2 linked regions of the Ovis aries genome follow. The protein of the gene in region 2 purifies or fractionates together with the protein of the main gene of each other region. This does not show direct contact. Links are inferred from orthologs where the notes say so. Each region holds a gene or a part of one and is shown on either strand. Other genes may lie near its edges.

What was found.
Region 1: the proteins of ARFGEF3 (region 2) and PHB2 purify together in Homo sapiens (affinity purification with western blotting; 4 studies listed by BioGRID). This does not show direct contact. The link is inferred for Ovis aries from reciprocal best matches to the Homo sapiens genes ARFGEF3 and PHB2.

What each region holds. Positions count from the first base shown.
Region 1 is NC_056056.1:209,333,563-209,338,363, forward strand, and holds the start of PHB2 (prohibitin-2), read left to right. Parts: upstream 1-1,933; 5' UTR 1,934-2,070; coding exon 2,071-2,197; intron 2,198-2,379; coding exon 2,380-2,464; intron 2,465-2,772; coding exon 2,773-2,852; intron 2,853-3,730; coding exon 3,731-3,915; intron 3,916-4,336; coding exon 4,337-4,466; intron 4,467-4,559; coding exon 4,560-4,663; intron 4,664-4,709; exon of another isoform or gene 4,710-4,801. Other genes in the region: EMG1 (ribosomal RNA small subunit methyltransferase NEP1), read right to left, coding at 1,518-1,685.
Region 2 is NC_056061.1:63,245,581-63,250,168, forward strand, and holds the start of ARFGEF3 (brefeldin A-inhibited guanine nucleotide-exchange protein 3), read left to right. Parts: upstream 1-1,313; 5' UTR 1,314-1,495; coding exon 1,496-1,580; intron 1,581-4,588. UniProt on the Homo sapiens protein: Participates in the regulation of systemic glucose homeostasis, where it negatively regulates insulin granule biogenesis in pancreatic islet beta cells. Also regulates glucagon granule production in pancreatic alpha cells.

The sequences.
Region 1 (4,801 bases), on a different chromosome or scaffold from region 2:
GTACTACTTTTAAAGCACTTTCATTACAATACCCCTGCAAAGTATTAACTGAGTTCTACAAACTGACTACAAACTTCTCAAGAATCAGACTCTTAAAATAAGTGTAAGCCCCTGGGTTAAAATTCAGGTCTGACTTCTCAACTTGTGCTATTTCTTCTGGCTCTACTCAATGAACAAGTTTAGCTCTAAAGGGCAAGAGAAACAATGTCAAAAGGAATGAGAACACTGCATAAAGTTTTAAGAGGGAACTTCCAGATTTATTTGGGAGAAGAGCCAAATGATAGGTAAAAATAAAGACGTGAATGTACTGATAACCTGATCCACGCAGTGTTTTGAAATGTATAGTAGTAATAAAGGAGAATGACAGACATGTTTCAACGAATCTAAACACTAAGTCCTTACAAATAAAAGGGTGGGCTGACTGAGCTAAAGGGCCTCTTGATGAAAGTGAAAGAGAAGAGTGAAAAAGTTGGCTTAAAGCTCAACTTTCAGAAAACTAAGATCATGGCATCTGGTCCCATCACTTCATGGCAAATAGATGGGGCAACAGTGGAAACAGCGACTGACTTTATTTTTCTGGGCTCCAAAATCACTGCAGATGATGACTGCAGCCATGAAATTAAAAGCAGCTTGCTCCTTGGAAAGAAAGTTATGACCAACCTAGACAGCATATTGAAAAGCAGAGACATTACTTTGTCAACAAAGGTCGGTCCAGTCAAGGCTATGGTTTTTCCAGTACTCATGTATGGATGTGAGAGGTGGACTATAAAGAAAGCTGAGCACCAAAGAATTGATGCTTTTGAACTGTGGTGTTGGAGAAGACTCCTGAGAGTCCCTTGGACTGCTAGGAGATCCAACCAGTCCATACTAAAGGAGATCAGTCCTGGGTGTTCATTGGAGGGACTGATGTTAAAGCTGAAACTCCAAAACTCTGGCCACCTGATGTGAAGAGCTGACTCATTGGAAAAGACCCTGATGCTGGGAAAGATTGAGGGCAGGAGGAGAAGGGGATGACAGAGGATGAGATGGTTGGATGACATCACCAACACAATGGACATGGGTTCGGGTGGACTCCATGAGTTGGTGATGGACAGGGAGGCCTGGCGTGCTGCGGTTCATTGGGTCGCAAAGAGTCGGACACGACTGAGCGACTGAACTGACTGACTGAGCTATAGTAATTACCTCTGCCCAGTAAACTTGTCTTGGGATGAACCGAGGAACGACACGAAGGACGAAACCTCTCCCCTAAGACGACTTTGGGGTTAGGATTATCACAGAATCCTGGTAAATCAATCGGAAGCAAGGATGTGAGCCGCACAGAGATTCAAGGGCAAAGAAAACGAGTACTACCAACTCAGGATGTTAAACGAAGAGGCAGTCGATTAGGCCACTCCTCCAAAAGCATGTTTCACCCGTCTCTGCTTTCTCCATCCATCACCCCCTGAGCCCACCACCCTCACCACACCGGATCCCATCCTATCGATCCACTAGCTCTCCATCTCCTAGTCCAAGTCTACCTTGACTGTCTCCAGACTGGCTCCTTCCAGCACCACAATGAGCCTACGGCCTCCGATCTTGCTACCCGCCCCAAGTCGGGGCCGCTTGGGCGCCACAGCATCCCAGTCCTCTTCCTGCTCCGCAGCCCGGCGCTCACGAGGTTGGAATGCACCACTGGGCGCAGCCATCTTGCATCCGTATCGGAAATTGTGTAACGTCCTTAAATTGGCCTCGAGCTCGCCCCAATCTCCAGCTTCCTTCCGTCTGCCATTTCGAAAGTGGGCGCTCGGAAATGGAGACAGCTCGAGGTCTACCGCTCGCGAAGCCTCTCTGGGAGGGCAGGGTTCCAGAAAGGGGCTGGACTTCCGGATGCATACTTCCTGTGCGTCCAGTTCCGGTCCGCCGTTGGCTGCGGGGAGGGTTTAGAAAGGAGCGCACTTCCGGTGCCCTTTCTCCCGCGAGCACCTGGGGCCCGGACCCTCGTGTGAAGGGTGCCATCCCTAAGCGGGAGCGAGGTAGAGACGGGCCGGCACCCCCTTCTTACCACTGGTGCCGCCGGCCTCAGGACCGAACATGGCCCAGAACTTGAAGGACTTAGCGGGCCGGCTGCCCTCCGGGCCGCGGGGCATGGGCACGGCGCTGAAGCTACTGCTGGGGGCCGGGGCCGTGGCCTACGGCATCCGCGAATCGGTGTTCACCGGTGAGCAACCTGCGCCCGCTCTCCGGACTCCCACCAACCTTCCCTGGACCCCTTCCCAGGACCCCTTCCCAGCCCCAGCCCCACCGAGGCCCCGCGCTCACCCAGCCCCTCACCCCGCCCCACCAGAAGCTGACACGTACTCTGAGCCCGGCCTGGACTGACTCCCACCCCTCTCCCTGCAGTGGAAGGAGGGCACAGAGCCATTTTCTTTAATCGGATCGGAGGCGTGCAGCAGGACACCATTCTGGCCGAGGGCCTTCACTTCAGGTAATGGCGGGCAGAACTGACTGACCCTGACCCATCACCCTTGAACGTCGACCCACCAGTACCTGTAGTAAGACTGACAGCGAGATTCAGCGCTGCCTTTTCCCCTTCTCACCCCATCTCCCCGAACAGTGGTGCTGCCCAAATCTCCAGCAGCACATACTGTTGTTTTCTGAAGGGAGAAGACAGTTTCTCCTTGACCGTGGTCATTAAGAGGAGGAGCAGGTCAAGAAACACGTGGTGAAGGAAAACACGGCAGAACTAGTGAAATCGCAGCTTCCTAACCCCTATCCCTGTTCCCTTCCCTCCAGGATCCCCTGGTTCCAGTACCCCATCATCTACGACATTCGGGCCAGACCCCGAAAAATTTCCTCCCCCACAGGCTCCAAAGGTAGGTCTGGGCACTGGGACATCCCTGACAGTAAACACGGGAGCCTGGTCAGAGACTGGGGAAGATCGTGGTGTCAGATCTCTTGGGCTTTGGCTTCCACTTCTGCAAACAAGGTGTAATAAAAGCACCTGCTCCAGGGATTAAAGCAGTATATTCTGGACATGCTGTGCATTTGCTCGTTTTCAAGTGTTCCTCCCCCTAGTGTAAACTCAATAAGAGCATTGTTTGTCTTTTGTCTTATTCACTACCTAGGTCAAAGCCTCGCTTTAAAACCTTTCTTTAACTGTTTGATTTATTAATCTACTGGTACATTCTGTTCTGGGGAAACTTGGTCTCACCTATTCCCTCCTACACCATTCACAGATGTGCCTTTGAGATTCCCCAGATCAACCTTACACAGACACAGACACACACACACACACACACACACACAATGAGGCAAGTAGCTCACCTGTAATGTACTTTTTTGCGTTATCTTCAGTGAAGGTTTCTTAAATTCCCAAAACCCTAGGCCTTAAGAGTAAAGTATCCACAAAACAGTCTTTGTTCTCCAGTCCTTACTGTCTAGTTCAGGAGACTGGCGATAACCATACAATGTAACAACTTACAGTGAAGCGTCAAAAATAAAAGAAAGCTTTTCTGGAGGAGAGGCCATGGGTAGAGGAGATTTGACCATGGACAAGTATGCACTTGGCCTGTGCTGAGTCACCTCTCATCAGCCTCCTTACTCTCCGCCCAAGGCCATTCTGGGCCACAGGGCATTGCCCTAGGTAGCCAGGGAAGCACGCACAGGAGAAAATGCCTAGGCAGGGCGGCTTTGCCGAGAGGCCAGGTGAGCCCCCGTAGCCTCGCCCAGCCACTGCTGACCTCTTTCTTAGACCTGCAGATGGTGAACATCTCCCTGCGGGTGCTGTCCCGACCCAATGCCATGGAGCTGCCCAGCATGTACCAGCGCCTGGGGCTGGACTACGAGGAGCGAGTGTTGCCGTCCATTGTCAACGAGGTGCTCAAGAGCGTGGTGGCCAAGTTCAACGCCTCCCAGCTGATCACCCAGCGGGCCCAGGTCTGATTCCAGCTCCCCTTCCCTCCCACAGCATCAGCATTTCCCTCCAAAGCCTCGTGGACGGGCTTTTAGGAAAGCCAGCCCATTAGGAAAGGACTGTAACCTGAGGTCCTATACACCCAAAAAGCCGTGCTGATGGCCAGTGTGGGGAACGAGGGCCAGGCCTGGTTAGTGTCAGGCAGGGAGGGAGAACCGTGGTCTAGACCCGCACACACGGTTTTGGAAAGAGTGGAGCTTAGGAGTCCGTGTGACCGAGGCCTCTCCAGCTTTGCAGGCTCAGTGAGGAAGTCGGAGAGCCTCAGTGTGCCCCTGCGGTGTTCTGGAGATCTGGGATTCCCATGGTCACGGCAGCACGCCTTCCTTTCAGTTCTCCGGCCCCCTCAATGCCCCTCTCCCGTCCGCCCCCGCCCCCGCCCCCCAGGTGTCCTTGCTGATCCGACGGGAGCTGACCGAGAGGGCCAAGGACTTCAGCCTCATCTTGGACGACGTAGCCATCACCGAGCTGAGCTTCAGCCGCGAGTACACGGCCGCTGTGGAAGCCAAACAAGTGGGTGAGTCAAGCGAGGGCGTCCGAGGAAGCAGGCAGGCGCGACGGTGTTCCCGGTGCCTCGCGTCCCCGTGACCCCGATTCTCTCCCGCCACAGCCCAGCAGGAGGCCCAGCGCGCACAGTTCCTGGTGGAGAAGGCAAAGCAGGAACAGCGGCAGAAGATCGTGCAGGCGGAGGGTGAGGCCGAGGCGGCGCGGATGATATCCTTCCACAGAAGCGCTCCCAGCGCGGCCCCTCCCCTGTAGGCTGGCTGATGAGACTTAAGGCGAATGCGACCTGTGCCCTTCGACCCCTGGGGGCGGGGGCTCCGAGTGGGATCTGAGCTTGGTGGGGCACCT
Region 2 (4,588 bases):
TACAAGACAGGACCATTACCCTCCCATTTTCCCAGATAATAAACCTCGAAGTCATCCCATGTATTACCATGCCAATCAGTCAGTAAATCCTACTGCTTCAGTTCAAAGATCTCTTGCTATATCTTCCTCTATTCCTTTCCACCTGCCCTTGGCTTAATTTATTTGTAGATCACTGAAGAATCTTCGACTCTTTTCTAGCTGCCAGTCTCGGTTCAGTTCAGTTTAGTCGCTCAGTCATGTCCGGCTCTCTGCAGTCGGCTCCTCTGCAATTTCCCTCCCTCAGTACCACTACAGCTAAATTTCTAAAGAAAAACAAAAGCGTCCAGAATCCTTTCTGAGTTCCCAATCACAGCTTTCACAAGGGGGTGGGGGGAGAGACTCCAAATAAGACTCCTGCTTTCCCCTCCCCTTTTCCTCCAACATCCCTCCTAGGGCCTCCATCAGTGAAGGGCTTGAAGTGACTGAAGCACTCTCCTAAGATCTGAGACTCTGCCTCAGGCTGCCTTCCCCCATCCGGCCACCCTGGTCCGCTCCCAGTTCTGCCTGAAGCTTCTTCATCGCCAAAGCTTTCTCTGTCCACCCTCTCCCACCCACACACCTAAATTGGATAGCTCTCTGCTGCGTGATCCCCTGTGCGCCGTCACCCCACCCTTTTTTTTTTTTTTTTTTTTTTCCTTCAGAGGATAACAACTCAGGTCAATAGAGGATTGGAAAGGGAAGGAGGAGAAAATTTTTTAAAGGGTTTGGATTCAAGAGTCCAAATTTTGTTGGTTTGGGAAGTACCTTAACCTCTCTGGGCCCGATTTCCTCCTGTATAACGGGTGAATAACAGGGATATTAATCCTACCATGACCCACACACGCACACGTGAGATGATGTGGAGTACATGGTTGGGCAGAATCAGTCTGTTCACAGGTAGCGCCAGAGCCTGGCACCGAGGGCGGCCCAGAACTAAGGAGCCTGGACCGCGGGATGCCGCGGGCGGCGCAACGCCACCAGGCGCCGGAGGTGGGGGGGGCTCCTCTAGCCGAAGCCGAGCAGCCCCAACCCCGCCCGCCCGGGATGGAGGGGGAGGCGGGGGCAACGACGAGGCTCCTCCCCGCCCGCTGCCCGCCGCCGCCAGACGCTCCCTCGGGCCGAGCCCGGCCAACGCCCCGCCGGCGAGCCGGCCCAGGACACCCGTCACCAGCGCTCCGCGAGCCTCTGTGCCCCGGGGGCCGCCCCAGGTCTCGGCCTCCGCGCCCCAGGCGCCGTCTCCGTCGCGGCGTGCGGGGCGCACCTGACCCTGCGGGCGGGGCGGCGGGCGGGGCTCCGGGCCTGACGCGGCGGCGGCATGGAGCGGGCGTGATTCATCCGCCGCCGCGCCGGGCCGGAGCCGGGCGAGCGCAGCGGCCGCCCAGGCGCCCAGGGCCGGGCTGCGGTGGCGGCGGCGTCCCCGCCGGGCCTCGCGCGCGCTCCCCTAGCCGTCGGCTGCTGGCCCGCGGCAGAGGTCAAGATGGAAGAGATCCTAAGGAAGCTGCAGAAGGAGGCGTCCGGGAGCAAGTACAAAGCCATCAAAGAGAGCTGCACCTGGGCCCTGGGTAAGCGCGCCGAGCGGGGCGCCGGGCACCTGCCGGCGGGTCCTGTTCGCCGCCGCCGGAGGGCCGCGCCGGGGAGGGCTGTGATGGCCCCTCTGCGGGGTGCTGGCAGGGGGCTTTCGCTGAGCAGCTGTGACAGATGCTTTTTCGCGCGATTGCGAGAGTTGCCTCGGCGAATTGATGGGTGATGTGCAAATTTGGATTCGGGCGTGTACATCCATCCGCCTACCTTCTGGTCTCTTGATCTTCTCCCAAACCTTAATGGGGAACCGCCGAGCTCCCCTCCTGGCGGCCCCTTTCTTCACGTTCCCTGCACGGCGGACGACGGTCACCCATCTCCGAGTTCGGATCACAAGCCGGTGGGAAAACACCGGCCTGATTCCAAAGCGCCTGTGGGCTAGAGGGAAGTAGAACCGTCAACCGCGGTCTCAAGTACCTTGGCGAGTGTAACCAGGAAGGAACAGCTTATTTGCTTTTTCCTGATAGAGGCCAGCTTGTTAAGTATTAGCTTTCGTGGTTATTGTAAATGGAAAATAACATACAGGTGGGGTGGCGTTACCTCTTGCAATTCCATTGTTGTCTGCCCTTCAGACAGATTTGATTTTAGATTTGTGAACTCTGCAAGCACTGAAATAAGTTCCAGGTAGCAAATTTGTGTTTATTGTCAGACTTGGATTGTAGAACTCAACCTCGGAGAAAACGCAAGACATTCAATTAGGCAAGAATGTGGGCCATCAAAATTGTCTGGATGGAAATTCAGGGGGGTCAGGAGCGTACTTGGGGGTAATAGTGATGCTTGAGGAGGGAGGAAAGGAAGGGCCAAGAAGAAACCAGGGCAGCTCTGTGGGCCCCTGGCCTTCCCCAAGCCTGGATATGATTCCTCAGTTGCCACCCAGTCAAAACAGAAAATTGAATACCTTTCTCTCTCAACCAAAAAGCTATCAGTGTTTGTCATGACACTCTGCTGTGGTACAGCCTGGGAAGGGCCGTTAGCAGGTTTTCTACTAAATGGAGAATTCTGTTGGTGTTCTACGCATCTTGGTTAGTATTTAGAAGATCTGAATTCACATATGTTTGAGTGTGTGTGCACAGACCATCACTTTTTTTTTTTTTTAACCTCTGTCATCACAAAATTTTCTAGAATGTTGTCTAGTAAGTTTATCTTGTAGGCAGAATCAGAACTTGACCATTTGTTTACTGTTAGAAGGGGGGAAAAAATGGACCAGATACACAAGTGAGCAGCAAGGCTCTTAAAGCCACAGTACTGTTTTTGCATTGCCATTGTCATTCAGTCGAGTGATGGGGTAGATTCTCAAAGGCTTCAAATGAAAGGTCACAGATGTTCGGGTAACATAATCTAGCAGGTCCTGACTGCACTCTAGACAGGCTCTTACGTGTTCTTGTTATTATTTTGCTGTAAGTTAAGCAGATTTAGATAGCATGGGAGAGGAGAGGAATCTAGCATTTCTAATGTTTGGATTTTGATACTCTACATCTTGTTAAGTTAAAGTGCAATGTTACCTAGTTTAGGTCCTTGAAGAAAAAGCCCGGAGCTGAGGCAGCTAGATAATGTGAGCAGAGCCTGGAGTTCAGCCTGATGGGAAGAGTAAATGGGGTTCTTTTCCCAGGGGCCGTTCTCAGCAAGAGATGGGAGTGCATGAAACAGTTAAATAACAGTGGTGCGGAGCATTCATTGTGCAGGTTGGAAGGAGTAAACCAGGAAAACAGATCAAAGTAGAGGGAGTGAATGTGAGGTCAGGGGTTGGGGGTGGGGGTACTGGTATGAGTTGGTGGGCTTTTGAAGTCAGTTGGACTTGAAGAATGGGTAAGCTGTGGGTTTCTTCTTTTCTTTGCTTGTGTAGCAAAGATTTATTAAGACCTCCTCTGTACTGAGCGGTGGGAAGAGAAAAATGAATAAAATGCTTCCTCCCTGTAATTAGCTTGTTAGGAGGGTATGTTGGAGGGAGAATGCTGCAGAAACAAAGACACGAAGGTATGGCTTCCTGTTCTCTTTCCCACTCCAGTCCATTTTCCACTGTTCCAGATTTTTATTTTTTTGCTATAAAATGCTTTTCACTCCTCAATCCCCATACTGTTATTCTAGAGTAAAGTGTGAATTCCTTAGAATGCTCTTTGGAATCTAGCCCCAGCCTTCTTTCCTGGCGCCCTCACAGCAGGGGTTCATCGGTCCCCATTAAACCATATCCTCTCTTGTACATTCTGTGAGCTGTATTTTCCTTGGCCTGGGCTCATGCTAGTCCTGCCACGGCTTACCTTTCCAGACTCCCAAGCCTCAGCTCACATACAAAGGCTTCCCTGAGCTCTGCAAGTGAATCGGTTGCTCCTCTGGGCTCTTAGCTGTGCCCTCAGGATCCTCTTAGAGCGCCTGCTTTGGGGGATTATAGTTGGTTATGCCACAGCTACTCTTTTAGGGGCAGGATGATTGAGAAATATTTTGGATTCAGGAGACAAAACGAAAAAATTCAAGCATACTTAAAGCAAAATAGAATGTTTCAGTCTATGAACTAAACAGCCCTTGGAAGGCTATCTGTGGGTTGAGTTTGGTTCAGGAATTAGATACTGTAACAGAGATCTTACTCTGCTCTTTTGGGATGACAAACACACTCAACATGAGTCTCCAAAGCTTTGAGTTCATCAATCAGCACACTTAGACCATCTCAGGAAAGAGGGGTTCATCCCCCACTTAGACCATCATGGGAAAAGGGGGTCTTTTCCATACTTAGAGTATCTCAAGAGAAAGCAGTCATCTTACACTTCAGCCATTATAAGCGAGAGGGATCACCATGACATTTAGACCACCCCAGGAGAGAGTCATTCTTATGAAAGCTACCATGGGAGAGAGGGGTCATCTTCACACTTCATCCATATCACGAGAAAGAGCTCATCTCTCACTTGGACTATTATAGGAGAAAGACATTTAGATCATAACAGGGGAGAGGAGTCCTCTCCCACTAAAACTCTCATAGGAGAGAGAGAGTGCATCTCCACAT